3 linked regions of the Elephas maximus indicus genome follow. The protein of the gene in region 2 purifies or fractionates together with the protein of the main gene of each other region. This does not show direct contact. Links are inferred from orthologs where the notes say so. Each region holds a gene or a part of one and is shown on either strand. Other genes may lie near its edges. The genes, in order: MYCBP2, MEX3C and AP2B1.

Region 1 (10,406 bases), on a different chromosome or scaffold from region 2:
ATGTCAGATGGATCTTGGTTGAATGCAGAGAACACCAGAAAGATGTTTACCTGTTTTATTGACTATGCAAAGGCATTCAACTTTGTAGATCATAACAAATTATGGATTACATTGCGAAGATGGGAATTCCAGAACACTTAATTGTGCTCATGTGGAACCTATACATAGACCAAGAGGCAGTTGTTCAAACAGAACGGGGGATACTACATGGTTTAAAATCAGGAAGATGTGCATCAAGGTCGTATCTTTTCACCATACTTAGTCAATCTGTATGCTGAGCAAATAATCAGAGAAACTGGACTACATGAAGAAAAATGAGGCATCAGGATTGGAGGAAGACTCATTAACAACTTGTGATATGCAGATGACACTACCTTGCTAGCAGAAAGTCAAAAGGATTTGAAGCACTTACCAATGAAGATCAAAGACTACGGGCTTCAGTATGGATTACAACTCAACATAAAGAAAATAAAAACTCTCACAACTGGACCAAGAAGTAACATCATGATAAACAGAGAAAACACTGAAGTTGTCAAGGATTTGATTTTACTTGGATCCACAATCAATGCCCATGGAAGCAGCAGGCAAGAACCCAAATGACATACTGAATTGGGCAAATCTGTTGCAAAAGGCCACTTTAGAGTGTTAAAAATCAAAGATGTCACTTTGAGGACTAAGAGAAGCCTGACCAAAGCCATGATATTTTCAATCACCTCATGTACACGTGAAAGCTGGACAATGAATAACGAAGATGGAAGAAGAATTGATGCCTTTGAATTATGATGCTGGCAAAGAATACTGAATAAACCATGGACTGCCAGAAGAAAAAACTTGTCTTAGAAGTACTGCCAGAATGCTTCTTAGACATGAGGATGGCGAGACTTCAGCTCATGTACTTTGGACATGTTATCAGGAAGGACCACTCCCTGGAGAAGCACATCATATTTGTAAGGTAGAGGGTCACTGAAAAAGAGGAACACCCTCAAGGAGATGGACTGACATAGTGGGTCATCAATGGGCTCAAACATAGCAACGACTGTGAGGATGATGCAGGATTGGGCACCGTTTCGTTCTGTTGTACACAGGGTGGCTGTGAGTTGAAACCGACTTGACAGCACCTAACAGCAATACAACAACTTCCTTCTATATTAAAGGAAGACAAGTCTGTAACTTCTTTCAGTGGCTACTCTCTCCACCTGTGGTCTTAAAACTGTCCTTGAGATCTCCCTTTGACATCTCCCCATCAATTATCCCTTTCTCTCCTATCTTTGTGGAAACCCTGGTGGCATAGTGGTTAAGTGCTACAGCTGCGAACCAAAGGGTCAGCAGTTTGAATCTGCCAGGCGCTCCTTGGAAACTCTATGGGGCAGTTCTACTCTGTCCTAGAGGGTCACTATGAGTCGGAATCAACTCGACGGCACTGGGTTTGGTTTTTGGTTTCTCATATCTTTAATCACTCCGTCTCAACTACTGAATGCTCCCCACCGTCCCTGCATACTCAAATATCCTTGCGTTTTCAACACCTCCCATTCACTGCTTACCACATTCCTCTACTATGACCATTTCTTCAAAAGTTATCAATGACCTGGAAATTGTTCTCACTTTATTCAGCATTTAACACTTTTGTGGACTTTGCAATCTACTTTCTTAAGACCAAAGACACTACTGCCCCCACCCAGTTCTCTTCCTAATTTCCCTCTCAGCTTACTTCACTGTCTCCTTCTCTCAAGACCTTTACACTTGATGCTCACCAGGGCTTCATCCTCTAGTCTTGCTCCATTCTCGATCTCTGAATGATCACATCCTGTCCTGTAACTTCGACCAGTGCCTCTACACATGGGATTATTTTATATCTATTCATTCAGAGCCTAAATCCCAGCTCCACTTTCTCCATCACCCCTAATAAGAAACGTGATTGAATTCTTAATCAAATTCTCAATAAAGAGAAGTTACAAGCTAAGACATAGAAAAAAATAATGTTAACTATAATAAGCAACAATGTTCTGAGAAAGCAATATTACATAACTTAAGGCTGGTTTTCATGAGTTTTTCTTGAACTAATTTTTCATTTTAATTGACAGCTGGTAAAAAAAACAGATCAAAGACTAGAACCTCATTTACAAATCTTATGTACATGGTTAACTTTTACTAATTGTATCTCATACTGTTAATACAGCTATACATAAATAGAAATTTTATTATTCTATGAGTAGCAGAAAGTCTGAAGGAGCTCTGGTGGTGCAGTGGTTAAGTGCTCAGCTGCTAACCAAAAGGTTAATGGTTGGAACCCATCAGCTGCTCAGCGGGGAAAAGATGTGGCAGTCTGTTTCCATAAAGACTGACAGCCTTGGAAACACTGAGGGGCAATTCTACTCTGTCCTGTGGGGTCACAATGAGCTGGAATCAACTCAACAGCAATGGGTTTAGTTAAAAAGTCAAAACAGTAATATACCAGTCACAAATTACTGCATAAGTCTGGAACAACATCTAAAAGGAACCTGAGTTCTTTCTGAGAGGTTTGTAAAGATGTGCCTACAGCGCCATAATTTAGAGACTCACAGATCTAAATTACACCTAATTATTGGAGCAAACTGTCTGATGAGGTTTTGCGCTATTTTCAAAGGCATTAGAAAAAAAAAACAGACCTGTGCCTTTTTGCCCATCCTTTTAGATAGTAAAGGGTAGTTATGCATATTTATAGCCATATGATACAATAACTCATGTGTCCCTCGTAAACAATTACAGAAATGAGAAGAATGATTGATTTACCTAGACAAAATGTGACCAAAGCTCCGTCTTTACAATTCTCCCCAATGGCTAAGCAGACTGATAAACTACAAACAGCTGACTTACAGCCTCACCCCTTTCACAGTGGGAGGAAAAAACATGTGGTTATTGACTAACAAACTACACATTCAATAAATACAGTGAACTCTTTAATTCATTTGACAAAATCCTACTATTCTCCCGTGTTTTGCAAGAAGCTGTGGGAAAAAAGATGAAACCAACTCCCAATTACCACTGTCAAACCCAAGCTGGTGAAACAAGTCAGTCACCTTCCTTCAGGGTATGTGGCATGTAAGGACACGGAAAAGAAAACAATAGGAGAGTTCTTAGCAAAAAGGCACCCACATTTTAAGAAAAAGAAAATGAAAGTGACGTTTCCCACATCAAGGAAGCTGAAGATGCAGTGAGCCTAACTGAAAAAGACTAAGAGCTACTCATATTTTTTAGTTGATGACAGTTAAACACTCTACCAGCTGTCATATTTTAAAATTCTTCCATTCAGCTTTCTCTTTTCCACTACACAACCCCTCTACTCCAAAGCCCTTAAGTAACAGGAAATTGAACAGAAGACGAAGGGAAATGGCGATGGGGCATCAGAACACAAGAGCAGCGGCGACCAGATCATCTCTAGAACACCAAAAGGCCCAATTATCTAAGAACTGCTCCAAAAATCTCTATCAGACACCTTTCACGTCCACACAACTCACCATATGCATCCCTTACTTAAAACGAAACCTCATGCCTATCTGACAGCTTGATTCTAAGAACTCATCCTATAAATATGACATTATCCTTAACCTAAACTATTGCTCCCTTAGAAAAAGACAGATTTTTTTTTTTTTAAAGCGGTGGAAAGGGGGGAGATGGAATGTCACTGGGGGAGAGGGAAGAGGGGTTGAGGTGGTGAAAGATACTTGCAAATACCATTGCGGCAGAGACAGTGGAAACGGCACTTCCCTCACTACTCTAGCAAATTCTCCTCGTGTATTACCCTCTTATCTTCTACCCATCTTTCCTCCTTCCTCAACAACACACATGCACACACACGTGTCATCGCACCATTACCTTTTCCAGCCTCTCAAGCTAAGCTCCCGCCCTCACACCAACACACTTAGAGCAGAAGCCGCTGCCACCGCACCCTCCTATCTCAATAAGTGCCTGCACCATCCAGCACTGAGCACTTCATGAAAGACTGCTCAGTAAATACGTACGTACACACACACACACATACACACACGCGAGCGCACACGCGGCATGTGGCATAAGGAAGGGCACCCCAGAGACGCACCTGGAGGCCGGGTGTCCAGCGCTGCCGCCCCCCTGGTCTCTGTCACTGAGCGCAGCTGTGTAAATCCTCCGGTAGCGGTCAGCCAGGGCCCGGCCTGACAGCAGCAGCTGGTAGTGACCCCGGGAGTCCGCGGAGGGCAGCCCCAACCCCAGCCCCGTGGCTGCCACGGAGCCCTCGGAAACCGGCATGAACGGCGCCGGGGAGGAAGAGATGGTGGCGGCTGGGAAGAATCCGTCCCCGCCGGGCCCCGAGGAGGCGGCGGCGGGGGAGCCAGTTGCTGAGCACATCATCATCCTCGCCGCCGCCGCCTTGTCCCCGCGGGCCGGGCAGGCAGACACGCGCGCGCACACACAACCCTTTTCCAACGACGACGACTCCGGCGGCGGCCTCTCCCTCCCGCAGCAGGGAGACTACAAAGACAGCGACCTCCTCCTCCTCCTCCTCCTTCTCCTCCTCCCCCCCGCGCCGCCCTCGCCGCTACTGGGGCCGCTCATCTAACCCCGCCGCCCGGGGCGTGTGAGAAGGAGGCGGTGCCGCCGCTGCCGCCGCCGCCACCGCTGCCACCGCCGGGGCTACCCGCAATGGGAAGCTGCTGGCCGTACTGAGCATGCGCCACTCCTCGCACATGCTCAGTCATTGGAACCCCTTTTCCTCTCCACCCGCCTCTCAGCTACCACTCCCTCCGCCTCCGGGCTTTGGGCGTGAGGTGGTTGGGTCGTGCAGAATCTGAAGGAAATCCGCTTCTCCGGGCTTTGGTAGCAACCTGAGGGAGAGTAAAGAAAGTGCTGGAGGAGCTGTCAGCTACAGGCGTTGTTGGACTTCAGGTAATGGGGTTCCTTCCAGGTGGGAAAATTTAGGACCAGAAAGAGGGAATGTGCCTATCGCCGGAGAATGAGTATTACGCACTCCTTGTACCTTCCCTCAAAGTCTGTGCTGCCAACGTGAAGATTTGCTGTGAAGAGTGCTGGTTGGATCAGAATTCAAGGCCGTCTGAATGAGAAGTCCCTTTGGCGATTTTATTTTGAATGTATTGTGATTAGAATTTAAATCTGTTTAAATTAGACTTCACTTACACAGACAGGTGGTGATCTAGTGTTCTTTTTTTCTGAGGGAAGTAGAATACACAGTTATGCAAGTATTCTAAAACCGGCTTCATTCCTAAAGTCTTGTTCTTAATATTTACATCAGAGATAAATCGTAATGCAATAATATTGTTCTTAAATAGTCTTGTTAACTCCTCACTCATTCTAGGGGTTCACCCTTATCTTTTGGCAGTGGTCACTTAATGGCTTAGATTTTTCTGCCCAGGCTTACATTATTATAGACAGATGATTCTTAATATGACCTGAAACTATAATTATGACTAAGACTGTATAATATCTGAGGAGGTCAGATTTACAAAGACCTTATCGTTGTTAAGTGTACAAAAGTGTAACATTCTCAGAGTCCCTGTTCCAAAGCAATATTCTGTTAGCCCTTTCTTAAAAAAAAAAAAAATCTTAGAAATATATGCACAAATGCACCATGATTCCTAAGTTTTGTCCCTTTGGCTCTCCGTATAAAGAGTTTACATAATTTATACTCCTGAAAAATCATTTCTAAGTACTATCATTCTAAGTACTATATCCATCATTTACTTCGTTGTTAACTGCTGTCCAGTCAGCTCCGACTCATGGTGACCTTATAAACAACAGAACATGTTGCCTGCTCCTGTGTCATTCTGACAATCACTAGTATGTTCCAGTACATAGTTGTGGCTGTTGTGCCAACCCATCTCACTGAAGGTCTCTCTTGTCCTCACCAGCTCTCTACTTTACCAAAGACGATGTCCTCTTTCCTAGCAATCCATCCCTCCTGGTGAAATGTCCAAAGCAAGCAAGTGGGACAATGTTCTGTTGTGATCCATGGGTTTTCACTGGCTGACTTTTGGAAGTAGATCACTAGCCCTTTCTTCCTAGTCTGTCTTAGTCTGGAAGTTCAGCTGAAACCCGTCCACCATGGGTGACCCTGATGGCATATGAAACACCAACGGCATAGCTTCCAGCATCATAGCAACATACAGGCCACCATAGTACAACACTGACAGATGGGTGGTGGTCATCTACTTACTAGTTCTTATATCAGTGTCTCTTCTTTTAATAGCCTTCATTTTAAAAAAAAAAAAAAAAGTCCTTTTCAGTGTTTTGAGAAGAACAAACAAAAAGTAGGGAAGTAAATTAATTCAAGCTTTTGGGAGGAGGGATGCTAAAAGGAATGCACTGATCTGGGGCTTTGAATGGTAGATGAGTATCATTGTGAAAAAAGGTAAAGACGGGATGATTAACGAATAGGGACAAATGCATAGACATGAGGAATCACAGTATTTTAGTATTGTGGGTTGCTCTATTAAAGAGGTTTTGTATTTGTCTTGTTTCTTCAATGATCTTCTAAGTTCCTTCAGAGCTTCTTGTTTTTTTCTTCATCAGGCCCTAGAATACAACCTTGCCAATAGTAGGTATCCAGTAAGTATTTGTTAGGCTAAATCACTGGGCTGATGCTTCAGCACAGTTACAAACCTAAGTGTTGAACAGGAAGCACCCCCAACCCTGTGGTGAGAGCCAAGACACTGGGGGAAAGACAGCTAAATTCTAGGAGTGGAGTTAAAGACCTGGCAGCTAGATGCTACAAGGGTGTATTACTGTTGCAAGAGCCAGCAAAGTACTGAAAAGGCTCTGAAATCAGACAGACATGGCTTTGGATCCTGACTCTGCCCCTTAACACTTGTATGTCTTTGGGCAAGATTTTCTCTATATTGTTCTGACTTGCTGTCCATATGTTACAGAGTAGAACTGCTCCATAGGATTTTCTTGGCTGTAATCTTAATGACAGCAGATTGCCAGGCCTATCTTCCATGGTACTGCTGGGTAGGTTCCAACCGCCAACTGTTTGCGCCACCTAAGGACCTCCTGTATGTAATGGTCAAAATAATACTTGCTGTTATTGCATGAGATTGTGGGAAGACTTAAAGCATACAGGCCTGCGCACCTTGGCAGATGGCTTTCCACAAATGGTGGCACTTACAAAGAACAAAACAAACAAATATACACACACAAAACTTGTCCACAAGAGCCATAATTGTGTTTGTTCACCCATTACATTCCCAGTGCCTAGCACAGGGTCTAGGCGTAAGTAAGAGGGAAATAGATATCGGTTGGATGAATGAATGAATGTTGCTTGCACAGAAGCATTTCCAGGGTAGGCTCAGGTGATAGCACGTGCTATCAGTGCCAGTTTAGAGTGGAGAATGACCCGTGCTCCTGCACTGGGCTCCTGGTTCCTCCCACCCCTTCCTAAATTTTGCTTCTGTTCTTTCTATACCGGTCAGTCCTAGACAGGCCCCTTCCTGAGCCTTGTGGATACAATCAAAACCCGGTAACTGGATAATTTCCCTAGAAACCTGACGTCGCTGGGTGGTGCAACTAGGCGTGCGCAGAGTCGTACACATGCTCACTTAGGTATCCGAGGGTGGCGTTTCTGTTGCGGTTGGCAGCGTTTCCTTCCACGGCAGCGGCAGCGGCAGCGGTCGCTCTTTTCTAGATTGATAGCCGTTGCAGCGTTTTTTCTCCTCGTTCTCCTCCTCTTCCTGCCTCCGCACTGTGCGATCCCCCACCGCTGCAACTGCTTACAGTTACTGCTGTGGCAGCTGGGCACCTTGGAAAGCTGCCCTGGGATGGCAGGGAATGGGGGAACACGTCAGGAATAAAGGACATTTGGAGTCATACTTTATTCCATTGTCAAGGGGATTCGAAGGGGAGGGTGAACCCCAAGGCAGGTCTCGGGAGTCTCCAGGACAGTCGTTATAGACTAAGAGATGTGGGTTTCTCGCAATCGGCAAAGCAAGCGTCCCCTCCCGCCACTCCTGAGCGCACTACTACTGAATGGCTTACGCTGCCCAAATGTTTGGAGTAGAATAGGGGGGTGAGAATTCTGGATATTCAAGGAACTATGCAGAATGAAAGAATACCAAGGGCTTTGCTTTTATTTTTCCAGCCCAGCTGAGCGCAGCTCTCTACTTTTTCCGTGCTGCCATCTTAGCTTTATCTTCTGGCCAAGCTGGGCGTGTGTGTGCATTTATCTTAGGAGGGCGGGTTGGGGTAGTGGGGTGGAGGGCCGGGGAGGGTGTCGGAGTAGGCTAGACAGGAGTTCATGCCACATTCGCCCTCAAATAATAGCATTGAGCTAAGGCAAGTCCTGAATTTGTCCGTTTTATTAATAAAACATGTGCATAGTATTTTTCAGTCTTTGTGGTTGATACCATGCTCATGTCTCAAAAGAATCTTTTCTGCGATTATAAGATTATGGCTTCATCTTTCACCCTGTGAGCACAGATTTTGTCGTTTTTCCTTCGACATTGCGTACCTGGCACTACAATTTTCTGACCTTTTTCCACATTTATATTTTTCTACTCTGTGTAGTTTAAAAAAATCAGAAGCCACCAACACTGATGGAGTAAATAACATGGCAGAACCCACAATGTGTAGGTAAGAGGACAGAGCCATGTTGTTAGTTTCATTTAAATGGTTAATATTGTAATAATGCTACAGGATTGCAAACTCAGAAAATGCCGTGGTCAAGTCAAGAGTACATTTGTGCAGTAACCTATTGGAGCATTTAAAAACAAAATTGGTAGCTGAAAGCATTTTAAAAGAAGCATGGTAGTTGAGAGCCATTTGAAAGAAATATATATATGCTCAGGTTTGAAGAGAGAGGATATGTCTCACTCTTCAGTGACCTTGGCTTTTTAAGGGCCACAAGATACTGCAATGTTAACTAATATGATGATATTGCACTTTAAAATGAAATATGCTTCATATATTTAATACTCCAGAGTAAAAAGAAAAATTCAACTTAGCACTTGAAATTCTTTTTGAAATGAAAATTGCACTTTAACCCCCTCCCCCAAGATCTCGACCTCTTGCTTTAAACAACTGTGTGTTATATATTTATAGGACCTGAGAATGAGCCTAGAAACTCGGGTGGTGTAGTGGCTAATAGCTACAGCTGCTAGCCAAAAGGTAGGTGGTTTGAATCCATCAGGAGCTCCTTGGAAACCATACAGGATTGGTTTGGTTTGGCTAGAATGAGCCCTGGTGGGACAGTGGTTAAAAGAGCTTGACTGCTAACCTAAAGGTCGGCAGTTCAAACCCACCAGCTACTCCTTGGAAACCTACCTGGGCAGTTCTGCCCTGTCATACAGGGTCATTATGAGCTGGAATAGACTTGATGGCAAAGGGATTTTTGTTGTTGTTGTTAGAATATACAACGATTTCTAAGCATAAAAGGTTAATGCTTTCTCCTTCTTACTCATATTAGCTTAAAAAGATACAAGATATCATACCCAAATTTTCCTACAAATAGAAATTTAGGTCATGGGGGCCTATGTTAAATATGAATATTTTCATCCCCAAAATATTGTTCTAGAATATTTACTGGTAAGTATATGTTTTTGGAGAGTGCAAAGTCAGTGATATATATTTTAATGCAAATCACGACATTTTTTAAAATCATTTTTATGATGCATTTAGGCAAGTGGGTGATTTTACAAACTGATAAAGTCATATAAAGTGTAACTCTTCTAAGGAGTGAAATTTTAAGAACACATTGCTTTAACCCTGAAAATGTCATTGTAGTTCGTAAAGTATTGTTGTTGTTGTTAGTTGCTGTCCAGTTGGCACTCAGGATAACCTTATGTATACCAGAGGGAAAAGTTGCATGGTCCTGTGCCATCTCCATGATCTTTGGTATATTTGAGCCTATTGTCTCTACTACTATGTCAATCCATCTCATTGAGGGTTTTCTTCCTTTTTGCTGACCCTCTACTTTACCAAGCATGATATCCTTTTCTAGCGATTGGTCTTTCCTGATAACGTGTCCAAAGCAAGCAAGATGAAGTCTCAGGAGCCTTGCTTCTAAGGAGTAGTATTAACTACTAAGATTAAATAGGTTAAATCACATTACCTCAGACTCTGAAGGACTACTGGAACTGTATTATACTAATAGCAATTTTATTATACCAGTAGGGTTATGGGCAAATCCAAATAACAGAATATATGTAAATGGATCTAAACAGATTATAGGAGGCATGAAATTATTTTAAAGACATTTAACCTCTCTCAGCCTAAGTTTTCTCATGAGTAAACTGAGGGTTATAATAGCACATACTTCACCAGATTCTTTAAGGATTCGGTTAAATCATGCGTATGAGGTACTTGTTTAGCACACTGCTGGGCAGATAATAACTACTATTAATATTATGTGTGATCCCCTTATTTGGAGTAGGTGTTACAGTCTT
Region 2 (10,642 bases):
GCGAAGTTTAAAAACCAAGCCCAATTCAACACCTACAAATGACCATACGCTACTGGGGAGAATAAATATGAGGTCAAACACTCTGCCGACTTTCATCACCATCAAAAGCACTGTTTCTTTCCTTTTCTTTTTTGAAAGGTACTGGAACCAGAGGCCATCTACATTGAGCTGCTTGTCTATATGACTCAGAATTCCATTTGTCCTACTCCTTCCTTCAGAGCTGAAGTCATAAATGTCTCCATCTGTGACATAATTATTTCCAGAACCAATTAAGAGATGTCATATAGAAAATTATGACTTCGGGTACTGAATAAAATAGCAAGAATGGGTAATTTTTTAAGGATGAAAGTTTAGCTCATTGAAACCAAACAACTAAACTAAATGATTTGCCCTGTTCTAGTCACTTTTTTTTTTTTTTTAGTCACTTAGGGAAAAGGGATAGGTACTCTCCCAGGGGGAAATTACCACACCATGGAGAGGATGCAACAAACATTAGAAGTAGCCTTACTCTCCAAAGGAGGAAATAAAAGACTTCACAGGTTTTATTGTGGTGTTGGCTGTGAGTGGGGGTGGCAAAGGGGTCAATGATCCACTAGTTGAATGGTTCAAAACAGGAAAAGGGCAAGACTTGCTGCTCTTAAGATAAGATAGAGAATGATGACATACTTTTAGCAATAATATGTCAACTCTGGGAAAATATTAAGTGCAAAAGGAATTGTCAGCAATTTGTCTCCATGTCCTAAGACATAAATATATCCACATTTTCTTATTAATAAGCACAGCCCTGAAACAGGAACAACAAAACAAAAAGACCACTAAGACTTCATTTCTTTTGCTATCACTTGATTAAAAAAAAGAAACTAAAATCACTTGATAAAAAAAAAATTTTTTTTTAGATGGTACAAAATAGAAGCCTGGAATTAATCCAGCTTACTTTTTAACTAATGGATTTGTATAAAGATAGCAAGCAGATTGTGGAAAAAGGACAATTTCACAGTGCTTTAAAGGGTATAACACAGCGAAGTAAGTTTCTATTAAACTAAATCCACAATGCATATTATTAATTTGTCCCTTAATATAACTGTCATGTAAATGTTCTTCTTTTGTTATCCTAAACTGTCACCACAAGCTCACTGAAACAAACAAGGAGGTGGCATCCTAGCATGGCATTAAAGGTTCTTCATATCCTGGTCTGCACACCTTCCTGGCCCTTTTTCACACTCCCTTTTACAAATCCTAACCCAGACCCAGTGCTAGATACTAACAAAACTCAACACTACTTGCCAGTCACACTCAAGAGATTATTCCTCCACATCTTTCCTCTCATTGTTCTTCTGGTCTTTCTTCCATCTCCATGTGTTAAAGTCCTATCCATACTCCAAGGCCCTCCAAGGTCGAAGTTCTCATATGTACCACTTTTTCTTTGTCACACACTGTAGTTTGTGACACTAACTAGGTAACAGTTTAGTGCCCTTCCACTGTTTATTAGACTGTTAGCTTTGTAAGGGCAGAAAGTTTGTCTGAATCAACCTCACATACCCAAGTGACACAAAGTCAAACGCTTTGGAACTACCAGCCTGACAGAGCCATTCTTCGACGTTCTCAAATGAATGGCCAACTCATTCTAGACCTACAAATTGAGATGTTATAATTTCATCATGTGTAGGTGAAACAGTTATTATCCTGTTGTTATGAGAGTCGATTCCAACTCATGGTGACCCCATGTGTGCAGAGTAGAGCTGCTCCACAGGATTTACATGGCTGTGATTCTTTAGAGGTAGATCTCCAGGCCTGCCTTCTGAGGTGCCTCTGGGTGGGTTCGATCTGCCAACCTTACAGCTAGTAGTCAAGGCTTAGGCATTTGTGCCACCCAGGGACTCCTTATCCTAAATGATGCAAACAAAACAAAATGGTACAAACAGGAATGTGAAATTGACTTACCACAAACTATAGGAATAAACTCCTTTTTGACTGAATGGCACCATCTTTGAGCTGTGCTTTTAAGTGCCAAATCATCAGGGAGTCTGAAATAAGCTCTTTCTATCCAGATTTCAGATGGGGTTTCCTTATTAAAATCCTAGAGGTAAGAACGGCGCCAACTCTGATATCTGAAACCACCATTTCAACAGAACTCTTATTTATGTGTTTTTTAGACCACTTGGGAAAGATGAGATCATTTAAGCAGCAGCGCCATCATCTATTTGACCCCCACGGACGCTCTCAACCTAACAGTAAAGAGCCGTGCAATAACGTGGCTAAACCATATTGTACATAAGAGGCAGCGGGTAATAATAAAGTAGGAAAACTACATTTAAGATCATAGGCTCTTTCCCCAAAATGTCAGATACAGAGGTACTCCCAGCATCCCCTTCCCCCACCTTCACAAATCTACTCCTGGAATCTGAGACATAGGTCCTTTGTCTGAACAATGTGGGAGGAGTCTGTCTGCAGTATTGGTGTGCTGGCAAGTGAAGAGAATTGACCGAAAACTGTAAAAACGCAAAGTTTCTTAACTCAATTACCTTGCTATCCAATTTTCCTTTACCGCGTACACGAAAGACAGTACAAGACAGCCAGTGTCCCTTTCTGAGACAGAAAATGTATCAAAAGGAATACAGTAAGCTCAGGCGAGTCAGGCTGCTCTTCAAAAGCCAAGTTTCTGAATAGCTGAGGGGAGGCGGCGGGGTGGGGGCTACTGACCCTTCCCTTTCGAATGAGCTTTCTACAAGACTCCATTTCTATCCATTTCTTCATCTGAATAAGCTGGGTAAGGAAAGCTAACAGCTTCTTCCTCAGCTTTTACAAAACTGTCTGCAGCACGAACTTACAATTTCGAGGCTTTTAGTTTACAGCCCCGAATCCACACTCATCTGATGCGACCTTTTACCACGTCGCTGAGGTTTCTGGTGGCACGCCAGTTAGTGTTCCACGAATACAGCCCGAGCAGAGAACCCCACCGGATTAGGTGGCTCAAGAAACTTAACACCTTTTATCAAAAGGAGTGGAACAGCAGGGGTTTCGCAGGGTGACCCATCTTCTGGCCTCTTCGACTCTGGGCTCCTCCCAGACCCCTCGGCAGTGGACTTTGGGGGACTCGTCGTATTCGCCTTTCTTGCCCCGAGCTTGTTTCTCAGGTCTCCCCACCCACGCCCAGGGCCAAGCTCAGTTGGGCTCCCCTCCCCGCACTCACCCTGGCGACCGACAATCTCGGCGACATGCTCGGAGCTGGGCACCGGGACGCACTCGGTGGTGTTGACGCTCTTTCTCCGGAGCAGGGCTGCCTGCTCCCCGTTCAGGGCGGCCGCCGCCGCCCCGCAGCCGCTGGGGCCGTAGGCGTGGGACAGCATCGCCGCCATCATGCCCTGGGCATCGTCCCCTCCGTAGAGTACCCCCGCCGCCGCGGCCGCCGCGGCCGCCTCCCGGGCATCGAAGCCGGCGGCGGGCAGCAGCACCGACCCCAGGGACCCGCCCGGGGTCGGCGGGGTCTGGGAGGAGGCGGCCGCGGGCGGCGACAACAGCAGCAGGGACGGCCGGTCCTCCTCTTCGCCCTCCTCCAGCTCCTCCTCCTCCAGCAAGTCGCCGTCCAGCTCCGCTTCCTCCCCCTCCTCCTCCAGCTCCAGCTCGGCCTCCTCCCCGGCCCCGGGCCCGCCAGGCGGAGCCTGCTCCTCCGGAGGCAGCCCCGCCGCCCGCCGGGCCTGGCCCTGCACCGCCGCCGCCGCGGCCCGGAGCGCCGGAGCGCCGGGCTCCGCCGGGCTGGGCTCCTCGAGGCCTAGCACGGCCAGGCGCTCCCTCAGCAGGAGCCCGTCCCCCTCGAGCTCCGGGCCGCCCGCGGGCGGTGGCAGCGGCGGGGGCGGCGGCGGGGGCGGCTGCGGCTGGGGCTGCGGCAGGGGGGCCGGGGCCGCCGCCAGGGCCAGGGCCGCGGAGCTGCCGCTCGGCATCGCGGCGGCGTGCTGTCAATGGCGGCGGCGGCGGCGGCGGCCGGGTCAGGCGCGGCAGACGGCGAGCCCCATGGCGGACAGGGCCCGGCCCTGCTCAGCGCGCAAACACCTTTCCTCTGGGGAGGCGGCGGGGCCGGCGACCCAGGCTGGGGAGCGCCAGCGCCGCCCGGGTAGCGGAGAGGGCGGGGTGGAGGGGCAGGGGAAGGAGGCCAAGGTAGGTAACTAGGTGGGTGGGTGGGGACGGCAGCGGCTCCCTTCTCAGGCTTTCTTTTGTTTCATGGCCTTAACCAGCCCCCGGCGCGCGCGGCGGCGGCGGCGGCGGCGGCGGCGGCGACGCCCCACGCCGCTCTCCGAATGAAGCCGGCGCGCTCTGATTGGCCGCTTCTACTCTTTGGGAGCCCGCCCTCTTTCCTCGCAGCCGGCTCGCTCCTTTCCCTAGCCCCACCCCCCACCCACTTCTCGGACCCCGCCCCACCCCGTGCCAGAGCTCTCTGATTGGGTGTCCACGACCGGCCGGCCCCTGAAGGCTTCTCCTTCCGCCCTCTCTCCTTTCCCCCTCCCCTCCCTCCCTTCCCTTTACGGGCTCCCGAGAACAGGGACTGTGATTGTTCGGTTTACAAGTCACTCTTTGTGACGTTACCCCCCCCGCTGGGGGCGGGGAAAAGGGACGAAGGCGCTGTAGCGGAGGAGACTGAAACTATGGGCCGGGCAGGGCCCTCGCGCAGGCGCCTGGAACATAAGCCCACACCTAGGCTAATTCCTTCTACCCGTCCCCGTTGCCCACCTGGGTCGGGTTTTTTAGGGCACTGTGCGAGCGGCCTTTTGAGTCGGAATCGACTCGACGGCAGTGGGTTTTTTTTGGGTGCGATTGGCCTAGGAATGGAACCGTGGGCATAGGCCAGGAGGGCGTTGTCTACCCGAGATACCCTCTATTCGGGTTAGGGCCTTAGGGGAGTCATCGAAGGAGGGGCCGGTGGAGTGTCCACCTTTCCAGTAGCCAAGGTGATTTCCTGAGCGGCGTGGCTCCTGGGCCTTCCCTGCAACGACCCAGGCAGCTCCTCCCCGGGGCAGGATCCTCCCACGCTCAGCTGGCCGGGTTTTCCCTGCGGAACTGGTTGGTTCTATCAGGAGCCTTCAAGTGCTTTGGGTTTTGGGGGCTTTGATAGGAACTCAGTTGTTTCCTAGCTGCGACGCTCTTCCCACAGTATGGCCCAAGTGATCTTACACTCTTCTAGAGACTTACTTTTAAATGGCTGGTTAAAGAAGAACAGAGCCTGCTACTACTTTTCTCCATTTAAGGCTATGTCACACCCATTAGCTCCTTTTAGTGCCAGGTAGTGTCCCCTGGAGGAGCCCTGGTGGCGCAGTGGTTAAGCGCTTGACTGCTAACCAAAATGTGGAAGTTGCAACCCACCAGCCGCTCTGTGGGAGAAGGATGTGGCAGTCTGTTTCAGTAAAGATTTACAGCCTTGGAAACCCAATGGGGCAGTTCTACCCTGACCTATAGGGTGGATATGACTTGGAATTGACCCTATGAAAAGGTTTTAGTCTCCCCTGATTAGTCTTAACCACAGGTAGTTGTCCTGTAGAGATATAATGTGAGCAACAATCCAATTTTTAACTTTCTATTGACCACATTTGGGAAACTTGGTGGCGTTGTGGTTAAGAGCTACAGCTGCTAACTAAAAGGTCACCAGTTCGAATCCACCAGGCACTCCTTGGAAACCGTATGGGGCAGCTCTACTCTTTCCTATAGTTTTGCTGTGAGTCGGCATCTACTCCAGGGCACTGCGTTTCGTTTTTGGTGTAGTGATGCTGTTGGAGCCCTGGTGGCTCAGTGGTTAAAAGCTCAGTGGCTAACCAAATGGTCAGGGAATGGAAACCACCAGCCTCTCCTTATAAACCTTATGGGGCAATTCTACTCTGTCTTACAGGGTCGCTATGAGTCGGAATCTACTCGATTGCAGGGGGTTTGGTTTTCGCTTGGAGTGACCCCATTAAAAAAAGTAAAAAGAAACAAAGTTTTAATAAATATATCAAAAATATTCACATTTCAATATGTAATCAATATAAAATTATTAATGATATGTTTTACTTTTTTAATACTGAGTCTTAGAAATCTTGCGTGTATTTTACACTAACCAAACCAAAACACCAAACCTGTTGCTGTCAAGTTGATTCCAACTCTTAGTCTGCCCTATAGGACAAAGTAGAATTGCCCCACAGGGTTTCCAAGGAGTGCTTGGTGGATTCCAAGTGCCAGTCTTTCGGTTAGCAGCCTAACTCAACCATTACGCCAGCAGGGTTTCCTTTAAATTTACAGCATATCTGAATTCAGTTTGCTCTAGACTAGCACACTTCAAGTGCTCACTACAAAACTGAAAACCAAACTCGTTGCCATGGAGTTGATTCTGACTCATACAGCTACTAACAACTCTAAACCTGTTGCTGTGGAATCTATTCCTGCTCATAGCGACCCTGTAAGAGAGAGAAGAACTGCTCCATAGGTTTCCAAGAGTGTATATCTCTATGCAAGCAGACTGCCACATCTTTCTTGCGGAGAGGAGCTGGTGAGTTCAAACCCCTGACCTTTTGGTTAGCAGCGCAGGGCTTAACCACTGCACCACAAGGGCTCCTTCTAGCAGCTCTAGACCGCCTGATTTTTGACTTATAACTTGGGGTCCTTTGTATATTGATTTTTTAAATTTACTGTATCTTGTCCTAAACTGGTTTCTTAAGAGTTAACCTTAATTCAACACCTACTTTTCTAAATTATCTAGGATGCTACAAAGACAATAGTCTAAATTGTGCCCATCTGGCCACTTGCACAATCCGGCTTCAATCTACCCTGCCCCTCCAAAAGGATAGAGAATTTTAGCTAACAGTATGAGTTGATTCCGACTCATAGTGACCCTACAGGACAGAGTAGGACTGCCCAACAAAGTTTCCAAGGAGCTCCTGGTGGATTCAAACTGCCAGCCTTTTGGTTAGCAGCCATAGGACTTAATCACTAGGCCACCAGGGTTTCCACTGATCAAGCAAGCTTGGCTGCTAACTGAAAGATTGGAGGTTTGTGTCCATCTTGAGGCACCTCAGAAGAAAGGCCTAGTGATGTACTTCTAAAAATTGACAACCTCATACAGCACAGTTCTACTCTGACATACATGAGGTTACGATGAATTGGAATTGACTTCACAGCAATGGTATTTTGCTACCCCTTTTCTGTTACCAGGTGTCTTAGTCATCTAGTGCTGCCATAACAGAAATACCACAAGTGGATGGCTTTAACCAAGAGAAATTTATTTTCTCACAGTCTAGTAGGTTATAAGTCGAAATTTGGGGCCTTGGCTCCAGGGGAAGGTTTTCTCTCTCTTTCGGCTCTGGAGGAAGTTCCTTGTCCTGTCTTCCTCTGGTCAAGGATCTTCTCAGGCGCAGAGACCCTATGTCCAAAGGACGCGCTCTGCTCCTGGTGCTGCTTTCTTGGTGGTATGAGGTGCCCAACTCTCTGCTTGCTTCCCTTTCCTTTTTATCTCTTGAGAGATAAAAGATGGTGCAGGCCGCACCCCAGGGAAACTCCCTTTACATTGGATCAGGGAGGTGACCTGGGTAAGGGTGGTGTTACAATCCCACCCTAATCCTTTTAAACATAAAATTACAATCACAAAATGGAGGACAGCCACAGAATACTGGGAATCCTGGCCCAACCAAATTGTTACACACATTTTTAGGGGGACATAATTCAATCCATGACACCAGGAAACCCTGGTGGCTTAGTGGTTAAGTGGTATGGCTGCTAACCAAAAGGTTGACAGCTTGAATCCACCAGGTGCTCCTTGGGAACTCTGTAGGGCAGTTCTACTCTGTCCTGTAAGGTCTCTGAGTTGAAATTGACTTGACAGCAATGGGTTTTCCTGTTACCAAGGAGCTCTGGTGATGCAGTGGTTAAGCGCTTAGCTGCTAACTTCGAGGTTGACATGCTGTGGGAGAAAGACATGGCAGTCTGCTTCCACAAAGATTATAGCCTTGGAAACCCTTTGGGGCAGTTCTACCCTGTCCTATAGGCTCGCTATGAGTTGGAATCGACTGGACTGCAATGATCTTTTTTTTTTTTTTCTGTTTATTCCAAGTTTCACTAGCCCTCATAAAACCCATAATGTTACTTCCCTGATAACTCATATTTGTAGCAATAAATTTTAGGGCAGCGATTCTCAGCCTTGGCTGTACCTCAAAATCAAGAAGAGATGTTATAAAAAGATAAGTGCAGAGTCAGGGAGAGGAAAACCCTCGAGATTTGGATTTAGTAGATCCTAGGTGGGACCTGGGACGTGCTTTTTAAAAGCCACTCAGGCTGTTCTGAAACTCATTCAGGTTTGAGAACATTGATCTAGAATTCCAGATTTGGGATTATGGAGGGAATCTTGCCAGTAACTCTACCAAAAAGTGATCCTTTCCTCCCTGCTACCTTCCCAATTAGGCACAATTTTCACTGATTTACTACATCTACACCCATTTTGTGATATGCTCCAATGATATTTCATGGTGCCTTAATAAAGCTACTGGATCTTTTTTTAACATACCAGTCAATAGCTTGTGTAACCAGACATTTACTTATAGAGTATACAAAAATGCTTGCTGTCTGATATTTCAGTTTAATAATGGTTATTTGAAGGCTAGAACTTCTAGTAAAGCAAACCTGATCAAGGAAGAAGCCAAATGAAATATGCAGTGACCACTTCCAAGATGTGTTGGTCATTTGGAGAAAACACATAGAATTACAAGTGAAATACTTAGAAGTCCTCTAGACCTCTTTTCATAAGTTGTCATTTAATGGTCGGTCACCCCTTGGTCTTAAGTTCTCTTCCCGAGGACCCAAAGCAAAAGTTATAATAGGCTGATAGTTCTGCCACACAGTTTTCTCTTGAGAGCGGGAGATGTGAATAGATTCATCCATAAAGTAAACAATAGCATACTAGAGGAATGTGCTCCTTAGAGCAAACAATTATATGAGACCAAAAGGGCAACATTTGCCTAAAAGCAAACGTAAGAAGCAGGAAGGGGGTAGAAAACCAGGACAAAAGTACATGGGGAAACTAGGATGGAGAGCTAACACATTGTGGGGAATGAAAGCAATGTCATGAACACTTTATGTATAAACTATCGAATGGGAAACTAATTTGCTCTTTAAACTTTTGCCTAATACACAATAAAAAATTAAAAAAAAATCTATAGGGACCAAATGGCAACATTTACCCTAAAGCAAAGATGAGACAGTTACAGGGGGTATGGCAGGGGGAGGAATAGGGAAACTAGATTAATGGAAACGGAAAAAATAGGAATAATGAGAATGTTGATACAATGTGGAAAATGTAACCAAATGTCACTGAACAATATGTATAGAAATTGTTAAATGGGAACCTAATTTGCTGTGCAGTCACCAAAAAGAATAATATATTTTAAAAAGGGAATAGATTCATGTAGATAAGATCCAGAAAGATAAGATCTATTCAGCTAAGATAAAAAAAAAGCTAATGGTTTAATTTAGATGTCCATAATATAAAAATTGCTTTCTGCTTCATTTTCACATAATAAATGAGGTTTTGTTGCCAGAATTGAATAAGGTTCTTGCCTCTCACTGGTCAAGAATGAGCCGGTAAGGCACGAAGAGTTTTCCACATGAGCAAACCTTTATTGAAGAGGTTTGCAAGCGGAGACGAGGAGGGCCTAAGCAACACATACCCCTGTCTCCCAGAACAAAAGACTTGCCTGGGTTTTTAAAAGTTCCGGGGCAGGAGAAGATGCATGTTTATTCATAGGCATAGGTGGGAAAAGCAAAGATGTCACCTTGAAGACTAACGTGTGCCTGACCCAAGGCATGGTATTTTCAATTGCATCATATGCATGTGAAAGCTGGACAATGAATAAGGAAGACCTAAGAAGAATTGACACCTTTGAATTGTGGTGTTGACGAAGAATATTGAACATACCACGGACTGCCAAAATAATGAACAAATCTGTCTTGGAAGATGTACAACCAGAATGCCCCTCAGAAGCAAGGATGGCGAGACTGCGTCTTACACAGTTTGGACATGTTGTCAGGAGGGATCAGTCCCTGGAGAAGGACATCATGCTTGGCAGAGTACAGGGTCAGCAGAAAAGAGGAAGACCCTCAAAGAGGTGGATTGACACAGTGGCTGCAACAGTGAGCTCAAGCATAGCAATGATTATAAGGATGGCACAGGAGCGTGCAGTATTTCATTCTGTTGTACATAGGGTCTCTATGAGTTGGAACCGACTCGATGGCACCTAACAACAACAGGCAGGATATGTTAACTACGGTGTGCATGCAGCAGCCTTCTAAGATGGCTCCTGTCCCGGAGGCTTCTGGGATCCATACCAGGAGTTATTATGGGGTGTCACGCCTGCACAGTCTCTCACTCCTCGAGTTCAATTCCCTGGCTGCAGCTGCAGCCCCTCACTACCCCTGGTGAAAGGTCACACAGCGGTCGCAGACGGATGTCCTGCACAAGTCTCTGGGGCTGGTTTTATCCAGCTGCTTCTGAAAGACAACTTTAAAGAAGTTTGTGGGCTCTTTTCTGATACCCTGCCACATTGTTCAGGGGAATGGCTCTGTTTCTGCGGCCTGGCCCATTTCCTGTTATTTTGTTTGCAGATTTGGGGGTCCCTTTGTTCCCTGTCTTACTCTC
Region 3 (10,742 bases), on a different chromosome or scaffold from region 2:
GGTGGGCTTCCCGGTCCATGGAGTGAGAAAGCTGAGCGCCTTCAAGCAGGAGGCTTGCTCACGGAGTAGGGTGCCTCTGGGAACTTAGTGGAGCTAGGTTTGTTGACCAACTGAGCTAAAGCTGGGCACCTTTGGGTCAAGGCTTACTGGTGGGCCAAGGCTTACTGGCAGAGTGGGATGCCTCTGCATATTTATCGGCAGAGCTAAAAGAGCTTTGTAACACTTGCCCAAAGAGGGCAGAGGCCAGGCCAAAGGGTCGAGGGCCAGAGAGAGACTTGCCTGTGGACACAGCTAAGAAGAGGTTGTCCTGATCAAAGAATTGGATCCTGAGCATTCCTAAACCTGAATTGTAACCTGTTACTTCCTTAACAGGAAGCCCTGGTGGTACAGCGGCTAAAGCACTTGGCTAACCAAAAGGTCAGTGGTCTCCAGCCACTCCATGAAAGGAAGATGTGGTACTTTGCTTCCACGAAGATTCACAGCCTTGGAAACCCTGTGGGGCAGCTCTACTCTGTCCTACCATAGGGTCACTATGAGTCGAAATCGAATTGACGACGGTGGATTTGTTTTTTTGGCTTTACTTCCCTAATAAACCCCATAAGTATTCGAGTATCGTCTGCGAGTTCTGTGTGGCTGTGGCAATGAGTTACTGAACCCGCAGGGAAGTAGAGAGTGCCTAGGGAAGGGACAGGTGGTGTCAGAATAGATAAAAAGGTTGGAGGGAGGAGGTCTGCCTCAGAGGAATCAGCCTTGGGCTGCTGATACTGATAGAGATTCTCTCCTCCCCCTGTTCAGTTAGAGATCAGACTCCGCCCCCATGCCATTCTTACATACATACGTGCAAACAGAAAAACCAGCATACAGAAATGATTGCTAATGCCTCAAAGAGGCCCACGGCTAAAGTCCATCATGGTCTACCCAGGATGTTACTATGCTACTCTAAATCCTGTAAGAGCATCAAAACTCAGAAGATTTAAAAACAAAATCTGCTTGGAAATTTTCACCCAGTTTTGAAAGTGGGCACAAAAAGTGTTCTGTTGTTTAAAGCTCTCATATACATACATACATACATTAAATTCTCAACAGGAATTTTCACCACAATCTGTTAAACTTTTAACTAACCTAGTCTCAGTCCAGTCTTTATGAGCAGCCCACACATATCACAATCTCTCTTAAGAAATTTCATTGTCAAGGAATATACTTATTTCCTGTTCACTGTGATTAAGTGTTCTTAACTAGAGAACAACGTACCCACACACAAAACTTCAAGAGAGAGGGTCAAATATTCCCCATTGTTGTTGTTGTTAAATGCCATTTAATTTCAACTCATAGTGACCCCAGGTGACAGAGCAGAACTGCCCCATGAGGTTTTCTTGCTACAATCTTTTGGGAAGCAGATTGCCAAGTCTTTTTCCTGTGGAACCCTTGGGTGGGGTTAGAACCGTTAACTTGCTGGTTAGCAGGCAAACACACTTAACCACTGCGCTGCTAGGGCTCCTTAGTATCCCTGCATACTTATACATAGATCATAAGAATTCCTGCTCTAAAGAGAGAGGAGCATACCACTCTTAGCGCACACTGTTTTAAACTATTGTAATGAAATATCCCTTTATTCACATTTGCAGAAAATCATTGTACCATGTCAGTTCCTGCCTTAAGCCAAAAGGAATTCCAAGAAAAACGAAGACGGTCCAAACAAAAACAAATGAGATGGTGGTTGCACAACACTGTGAATGCCACTGAACTATTGACCTTAAACTAGTTAATTTCATGTTATGCAAATTTCACCTCAATAAAAAAATATATAATTTAAAAAAAAAAGGTGGTGGTTGGGGGGACATTTAACCACACCCCAGAGATGGTCACAGCCAGATTCTCCAAAATACAGGCTGGTGAAAACTGATGTCTGCATTAAGCCACAAAAAAAGTAACCAAGATGGAGCCCATTAAAAAAAAAAAAAAATCAAGGATGTATTGAAGAGCAAAAAAATCAAGCTCCTAGTGGCGTCTGGGGTCTTAAACTCTAGCAAGCAGCCGTCTAAGTTGCATCAGTTGGTCTAAACCCACCTGGAACAAAGGAGAATGAAGAACACCAAAGACACAATGGAGTTATGAGCCCAAAAAGAGAGAAAGGGCCACATAAACCAGAGGCTACATCAGCCTGAGACCAGAAGAACTAGATGGTGCCAGGCTATAACCAATGACTGCTCTGACAGAGAACCCCTGAGGGAGCAGGAGAGCAGTGGGATGCAGACCCCAAATTCTTGTAAAAAGACCAGACTTAATGGTCTGACTGAGACTAGAAGGACCCGGTGGTCATGGTCCCCAGACCTTCTGTGAGCCCAAGACAGGAACCGTTCCCAAAGCCAACTCTTCAGACAGGGATTGGGCTGGACAATAGGATAGAAAATGATACTGGTGAAGAGTGAGTTTCTTGGATCAAGTAGACACAAAGGACTATGTTGGCATCTCCTGTCTGGAGGGGAGATGGAAAGGTGGAGGGGGTCAGAAGCTAGCCGAATGGACATGAAAAGAGTGGAGGGAATGAGTGTGCTGTCTCATCAGGGGGAGAGCAATTAGGAATATAGAGCAAGGTGTGTATAAATTTTTGTATGAGAGGCTAACCTGATTTGTAAACTTTCACTTAAAGCACTATAAAAATTAAAAAAAAAAAAATCAAGCTCCTCCTGGGGTTCTTTCAGGAGAGCCCCAGGAATAAGCAAAGCCACCCTGGAGCTCCAACTCACACTACTTTCCTAACTGACCAATCTGACACTTGACTATTCCCAGGGCTCCCGGTATGGCCTAGGGGTACTGTTAAACAACAAAGCTGCCACAGTCAGGGCACACATTCAATCTTACCTGTCCTAGCCCAGAGTGTGATGTCACCACATTTCAGAGAGGGCCTCCCTGCACAGGACTATATATTTAGATTTAACATAACCCAGTTTCTACCAAATATAGGTTGTGAAAAAAACCTCCCCACCTATTTCCCTCCAGTCCTCTAAAAGAAAAAATGAGCAACAAAATAAGATTAATAGCCTCAGTAGAATAAGGCCAGAAAAAAATTAATAGGATCTTAATTTCAAATGGCTCTCTGGGAAATGGTAGTTAAATTAGTGCTGAGGAGGCCACTAAGCTTTTCACAGAAGTTGGGCTTTACAGTTTAGTGCTCCATAGGGAAAAACTGGCTAAAGAGTTAACCAAATTACAAAGCAGAAAGGTCATTCCTGCAACCTTTTATTACAAAGGTGAGAGGTGCTAAGTTCATTTCTAATCAAATACTAATAATGCAAAGATGGTAGCATCTTCAGGTATCATATAAAAAAGATAGCTCCTAAAAATCACAACAGACATTGAAAAGCCAAAATTGTTTGTGATTCCTATTCAAATGTGACAGAACACGAATTAGTTAATATTATACAGTAAGAAATGAGCCCAAAAGTTTTATATCCATCCACTTCTTAACTGAAATACCAATACACTCTGGAAAACTTAAGTCTGGAGTGAAAGAAGAAAGGAGACTAGGTCCTACCCAATTCATTCCGTGTTCAGGCCTGGTTCAAATCTGTGCCTAAAATGTGATATTGCAAAAATATACACCTATTTAAGAAAATAAAAAAAAAGATGGAAGAACTGGGCTTACATGAATCTCTTAATTCACAGTCAGAATGTTAGCTTTATATTAATTTTACCACCTAACTTTCAGTGAGGCTGTTTGCAGAACACACTATCCTTTCTGCTTCCTTGGGAGTTTCAACTGTTAAGACACCTACAAACAGTACTCACCTTACCACCACATTTAGTCATCACTGGAATGTGTTACACGTTTTCTTACACAGCTGCATCTCCTTCACCTACTGCTTTCTATTATTACTTTGTAAGTGTACCCCGAGGCTAAGCAATTGCAGAACACAAGATAATAATTTAAATTTAGACCACCTTCTTTCTCAGTCATTCTGCCTTTTTTGAACTTGCTACGTCTTTTTTTTTTTTAAATCATAACATTTATGGTAACAGTATTCTGCATTTAAAAAATTTTTTTTAAAGTCAAAATTTAATGAAGCATCCGCACGGAACCAGGTGAGTTCAACAAAAGCCTGCTCCAAGATATAAGATTACCCTGTAAACAAATAACCAAAAAACCCACTGCTGTAAACAAATAGCATGCATAAATTCTTTGGATTCAAAGAATGTGGAAATAACAGGAAGTTCTAGTTTCTTCACTACTACCTTAACCTACCAACATTCCTAAACCAGATCATTCCTGCTAAGCCCAGAAAGGAAAAAGAAAAAAAACCCAAAACCATGCTGCTGTAAGATTAACCCCCACTTGCTTCCTCCTCTCTCACAGCTGGTCAAACTGCTGGAGGTTTCTTTTTCTTCCTCCCAAGCGTAAGGAATTCCTCTTCTTTCCCCAGGTGGTTAAGACTCTAGGGATAGGTTCCTCCATTGCAAGGCGGGGAGAAGTGTCTTACTCTCAAAAAAATCCTGGAGGGGAGGCGAAAAAGTCGGGCCTTACCGACAAGCAAAGCTTTGGGGGAATCCTCCTCCTTGGGGCTCAGTGGACACGTCTCAGCCTCTCCGGGAAGGACGCCAGGCGGGGAAGAAGGAAGGTTCTCCCCTCGGCCTCCCGTCTCCAACGGCCACACCCCTGGCCTTCGGCCCTCCTAACTCCCGGACTAGCCATCAAGGCAGCTACAGAACGTACGTCGCCACGGCACCCCGCATCTGCCAGCGGCCACGCCCGCCAATTCCCTCACCTCACCAAGCCAGCGCGGAGGAGTCTCTTTCGCCAACCCTCTTCCTCACAACGGTCACACACGACGGCTCCCTCGCCCTCAACAATCAAACAATCAAGTTTCTAGGATTTCGACCCTTCCGTCTCCGACCCGGGCAGGGGTTTTCCTCCCTCCCTTTAATGAGGGACACGCCCCAAAGTCGGCCAGCTCGAACTCACCGGAGGCAAGGGCGGGGGAGGCGGCAGCAGCCAGAGAGCGCGGCCTCGGTGGTGGTGTAATGGTTTCTTGCCCGTCACGATTCCTTCTGCAGGTCTAAGCCACTGCGCAAAACCCACTTTGCCAGGGACAAAGATGGGGGACAGGAAACGTGACGTAAGAGGACCTAGTCGCGAGACGTCATCGGCGTGCGCCGGAGAATCAGAAAGGCTGTGACCTCTGTCGTCTTGGCGACAGAATGATTTGCTTGGTCTAGAAGAGGTCTTGAGACCTGGGACCCGGAGGCTGTTTAGTGGCTATCTGAAGGGATATATTGAACAAACTGACATTCTCTGGATTTATTTCCTCGCACAGGAGTTCTCTGAAAAGTTTACATATAGAGCAGGTGAAATATCATGTTCCTTTCTGAAAACAAAACAAAATCAGCAAATTCACGTGTTGGGTCCAGCCAAGGATTATACACAGGCAGTGGGACGAGAGGAGAGCGATGCAAGAAGAGATTGAGTCGCCATTAGACATGAGTTCGAATTCCAGCCCTGAGGATGACTGGGAAAGTTACTTAACTTCACCGCAGTCTTAATTTTCTTTTCTCTGGGTTGTAAACCTTAAATGAGATAAAGTAGGTAAAGCGCCTATCATGTAATACATGTGCTTTTCACAAAAGTAAGTTCCCTTTCACCTTTTCAGAAACAAAGGCCTAGATTCCAGGATCCAGAACTAGAGAACAAGGTTAATCAGAGTAAGTAATAGGGATGGGTGTGGGAGTGGATCCTTTTTCCCTCACATTTTTACCTATTAAATTTGTGAGAGTGGAAAAGTATATGTTGTTGTTAGGTGCCCTGGAGTTGATTTCGACTCATAACAACCCCTTGTACAACGGGAGGAAACACTGTCCGGTCCTGTGCCATCCTCACAATCATTGCTGTTTGAGCCCATTGTTGCAGCCACTGTGTCAATCCATCCCCTTGTGGGTCTTCCTCTTTTTTGCTGACTCTCTACCTTACCAAGCATGATGTCCTTCTCCAGGGGTTGGTTCCTCCAGATAACATGTCCAAAGTATGTACGACGAAGTTTTGCTATCCTGTCTTCTAAGGAGCACTCAGACTGTAGTTCTTCCAAGACAGACTTGTTTGTTCTTCTGGCAGTCCATGGTATATTAAATACTCTTCATCAACACCAAATTCAAAGGCATCAATTCTTCTGTCTTCTATACTCACTGTCTAGCTTCCACATGCATATGAGGCAATTGAAAATACCCTGGTGTGGGTCAGGCACACCGTAGTCCTCACAGTGACATCTTTGCTTTTTAACACCTTAAAGATGTCTTTTGCAGCAGATTTGCCCAATACACTATGTCTTTGATTTCTTGACTGCTGCTTTCATGGGCGTGGATTGTGGATCTCAGTAAAATGAAATCCTTGACAGGTGAAGTATTTTCTCCATTTATCATGCTGTTGCTAGTTGGTTCAGTCGTGAGGATTTTACAGTCCAGAAAATCCTATGAGCAATTCTACTCTGTCACAGGGTCGCTATAAGTCAAAATCAACTCTGTGGTACCTAACAATGACAACAATCTTTATGGGAGCAGATCCTCAGGTCTTTCTCCAGCTGAGCAGCTGAGTGGGTTCAAACCACCTACCTATTGGTTGGCAGCCAAACACTTAACTGTTACGCTACCTGAAAAGTGTGTAAGCATCTTAAAATTTCATTCTTAAGTAATCAGAAGTATCTAAAAGGTTTGTAAAACATAGTCGTATATTATTATTGCCCTTATTATTGAAATAGGTGAAAATTGGAAACCTAATTTTAACACAAGAGGGAACATAAACATTTATGATAAATCAAATAGCTGCATAATGTTGTAGAATATTTTATGTCACAAGAAAATTCACGATCATGTCAAGAGAAAAAAAAACAAGATACCAAATAATATATACAGTGTGATTGCATATGTATTTTTTAAAAAGGCTAAAAATATTCAGCAGAATGTTGAGTGGTTATTGCTGGATGGTTAGAATTTTAATTTTCTTCCTAATTTTAGAAGCATTCTACGCTGAACATGTATTTATTTCTATGATTGGAAAATACTTTTTAAAATCATATTTTTGAAGACTATATAATGGAGTCCCCTGAGTAGCTCAAATGGTTAAGTGTTTTACTACTAACTAGATATTGGTGGTTTGAATCCACCCAGAGGCACCTCAGAAGGACTGGCGATCTGCTCCAAAAAGGTCACAGCCTTGAAAACCCAATGGATTCAAGCTCTGCTCTGCAACACATGGGGTCACCATGAGGCAAAATTGACTCAGTGGTAACTGGTTTGGTTGTATTTAATGACAAGGGAAAATACTTTGAGATGATGTTAAGGAAAACATATGGCTGAATGTAACCAAAACCTGGAAGACAGTTAAGGTACCAGCCTGGATGAAAGTTCTGAGCAACTAATAGTCTTTTGTTATCAGGAGGGATCAGTCCCTAGGGAAGGACATCATGCTTGGTAAAGTAGAGGGTCAGTGAAAATGAGGAGGACCCTCAAGGAGATGGAATGACATAGTGGCTACAACAGTGGACGCAAACATAGCAACAACTGTGAGGATGGCACAGGACCAGGCAGTGTTTCTCTGTGTTGTACATAGGGTGCTGAGTCAGAATTAACTCACTGGCACGGAACAACCACCACCATGTCATATGTATACATATATGTGTGTGTATATATATATAGGAGAAACCCTGGTGGCATAGTGGTTAAGTGCTACGGCTCCTAACCAAAGGGTCGGCAGTTCGAATCCGCCAGGCGCTCCTTGGAAACTCTATGGGGCAGTTCCACTCCGTCCTATAGGGTCGCTATGAGTCGGAATCGACGGCACTGCGTTGGAGATTATATATACGTATATATGAGCCCTGGTGGCGAAGTGCTTAAGCACTCAGCTTCTAACCAAAAGGCAGTTGGAACCCATCAGCTGCTCTGCGTAGAAAGACGCAGCAGTCTGCTTCCATAAAGATTTACAGCCTTGGAAATCCTATGTGACAGTTCTATCCTGTCCTATAGGGTTACTATGAGTCCCAATCGATTGACCCGCAATGGGTTAATCTTTTTAATTGGCAGCAATAGAGCTAAAGGCTTCTATTTTCTGCTACTCAAAACCAAACCCACTGCGGTTAACTTGATTCCAACTTATAGCGACCATATAGGGAAAAGTAGTTCTATTTTGTCCTATATGGTCTCTATAAGGAAACCCTGGTGGCGTAGTGGTTAAGTGCTACAGCTGCTAACCAAAGGGTTGGCAGTTCGAATCCACCAGGCGCTCCTTGGAAACTCTATGGGGCAATTCTTCTATGGGGTAGTTCTACTCTGACCTATAGTGTCGCCGAGTCGGAAGACTCAACGGCACTGGGTTTGGTTTTTGGTTGCTCTCTATAAGGGTTTCCAAGGTTGTAAATCTTTAAGGAAACACTTTTTCCCGCGTAGGGACTGATGGATTCGAACCGCCGACCCAGCGCTTTCCCCGCTGCGCCACCAGGCCTCCTTATCTCTTGCTGGGTCACTTCGAATCCTTTCCAGAAAGCGGTCAAATAAAATTAACGATCACCAATTCCTGCCTTGGGCACACGAGAAAACCCTCCCATCTCCCGATTTCTTTGTCCCTCGGCCTCTAGCACCATCGATCCTGGGAACACAGGACTCAGTACCCAGCCCAAATTATGTCCGGGGGCGTCAGGGCTCGGAGCACCGCAAACACCTCCTCAAAAAAACTTCAAAAAGAGATGATCAGATCTGTGGCTTTCACCTGTATAGACTCAGAAAAAGTAAAACAAACAGAGAATTCGTCGCCAAAACTATCCCATAGGAGACATTTTTAATTTTAGCGGGGGCGGAAGCGGAAGGGTCATAGAGTTCTCTACTTCCGGCTTCGGCGCCGCGTTCCGGACTAGAGCCCCTCTCCTCCTGCCACTTCCCTGAGGCCGCGGAGCCTTCTATTTCCGGTTACCGCTTCTGTCATAAAGCCGAGACCTCCCCGCGAACGTGGCGTTGTGGGTCCTTCGCGCCTCGCCTGTGGTCAGGTAGCAAGGACGGGCGCGGGCGGGGATACTTTACAGCCCAAACTGGACACAGTCTTCGCGTACCGGACCCGTGTTGGCACCCCGATCCCTCAGAGAAGGCTGGCTTTTGAGCCCTCACGATGAAGGGTACCCGACGCGCAGGCTCCGGGACGGCCGCTCGAGAGGACAGCGTTTATCCGCCCATACCTCTCTCCCAGTTAGGCTCTACACTGTGAGGTGCAGCATTTGATAGGTCACCCCCTCCCCAAAGACTGCTTCCACCCATGTCCGCGTTAACTTCGTTCTCAACCTCCTTAATTTGAAAGATCCCTCTCCACGCTTCCAGAAGAGGTCTTTTTCCCCCAGTTAAATATCATCCCCTTAGCCTGTAAAATTGAGTACGGAGTTTCGGATATCTGGCAGAAAAATTATCTTTAAGACGGAGCACCCATTTGATCCAAAAAAGAGGTTCATGCTCACTACAGAGCCTGGGAAAAAGTGAAGCCCAGTAAACACAGGAAACGATGGCTGAGCATGGGGCTCACATCACAACTGCTTCTGTGGTGGATGACCAGCCATCCATCTTTGAGGTGGTAGCACAGGACAGTTTAATGACAGCAGTGAGACCCGCCCTTCAGCATGTGGTCAAGGTAAGGTATTAATTCTCAGAAAGGTTTTAGGGACGACCGAGTAAAAACCAAACTAATAATTTGTTTAGCTGGTAGCCTAGGGTTTGAAATAACCAATTAGCATGTAATTTCTGTCCCATGATGCGTTATTGAGTCTCTGTTCTTGCAGTCCTGTACTGAATCTCTAACATTTCAGGGAGGTGGTAAGGTAGACCCCAAAAGAAGTGACTTGTTTAAGCCCGAACTATGTAGAATTTAAAGAACAAAGGGAATGTAAATACAAGGTATGGTAACTGTGAAATAGAACCAATTTTGTTTATTGTTTTTTTCACTTTAGGTTCTTGCAGAATCAAATCCTGCCCACTATGGCTTCTTTTGGAGGTGGTTTGATGAAATCTTTACTCTGCTAGATCTTCTCCTTCAGCAGCATTACTTGTCTAAAACTAGTGCCTCGTTTTCTGAAAACTTTTATGGCTTAAAGCGGGTTGTAATGGGGGACACACACAAGTTTCAGAGATTGGCCAGCGCAGGTCTCCCAAAGAAGCAGCTTTGGAAATCTATTATGTTCCTGGTTCTTCTTCCCTATCTGAAAGTGAAGCTGGAGAAGCTGGTTTCTAGCCTGAGAGAAGAGGATGAATATTCTATTCATCCCCCTTCTTCCCACCGGAAACGATTTTACCGAGCCTTCCTGGCAGCCTACCCATTTGTCAACATGGCCTGGGAAGGCTGGTTTCTTGTACAGCAACTTCGATACATCCTAGGAAAGGCTCAGCATCACTCACCACTGCTGAGGCTGGCTGGAGTTCGGTTAGGTCGACTGACAGTTCAGGATATACAAGCACTGGAGCACAAACCATTTGAAGCCAGCATGAAGCAACCACCAGCCAGGTGAGGCCTTCACATTTCAAAAATATTCTGATTTCTAAATTTTAAAATCATATCCCAACTTCATGAAATTCACCTCCCTCAGTCCACTTTGAGGTATTTCATAGAATCATACAAAAAATCTTTGTGTTCATAAAACAAGGATTGCAGAACTCCATCATGGTAACCATCCACATTATTCTAGCTTCTTTTTATTGTACACTTGCTACGTGCCAAGCCCTGTGTTGTC

The links.
Region 1: the proteins of MEX3C (region 2) and MYCBP2 purify together in Homo sapiens (affinity purification with mass spectrometry; 3 studies listed by BioGRID and IntAct, with this or other methods). This does not show direct contact. The link is inferred for Elephas maximus indicus from reciprocal best matches to the Homo sapiens genes MEX3C and MYCBP2.
Region 3: the proteins of MEX3C (region 2) and AP2B1 purify together in Homo sapiens (affinity purification with mass spectrometry; 4 studies listed by BioGRID and IntAct, with this or other methods). This does not show direct contact. The link is inferred for Elephas maximus indicus from reciprocal best matches to the Homo sapiens genes MEX3C and AP2B1.

Annotation. Positions count from the first base shown.
Region 1 is NC_064832.1:70,486,853-70,497,258, forward strand, and holds the start of MYCBP2 (E3 ubiquitin-protein ligase MYCBP2), read right to left. Parts: upstream 4,663-10,406; 5' UTR 4,369-4,662; coding exon 4,076-4,368; intron 1-4,075. UniProt on the Homo sapiens protein: Atypical E3 ubiquitin-protein ligase which specifically mediates ubiquitination of threonine and serine residues on target proteins, instead of ubiquitinating lysine residues.
Region 2 is NC_064829.1:59,728,066-59,738,707, forward strand, and holds the start of MEX3C (RNA-binding E3 ubiquitin-protein ligase MEX3C), read right to left. Parts: upstream 4,248-10,642; 5' UTR 3,939-4,247; coding exon 3,191-3,938; intron 1-3,190. UniProt on the Homo sapiens protein: E3 ubiquitin ligase responsible for the post-transcriptional regulation of common HLA-A allotypes. Binds to the 3' UTR of HLA-A2 mRNA, and regulates its levels by promoting mRNA decay.
Region 3 is NC_064837.1:30,138,305-30,149,046, reverse strand, and holds the start of AP2B1 (AP-2 complex subunit beta), read right to left. Parts: upstream 5,103-10,742; 5' UTR 4,961-5,102; intron 4,945-4,960; exon of another isoform or gene 4,764-4,944; intron 4,746-4,763; exon of another isoform or gene 4,523-4,745; intron 1-4,522. Other genes in the region: PEX12 (peroxisome assembly protein 12), read left to right, coding at 9,524-9,649, 9,966-10,516. UniProt on the Homo sapiens protein: Component of the adaptor protein complex 2 (AP-2). Adaptor protein complexes function in protein transport via transport vesicles in different membrane traffic pathways.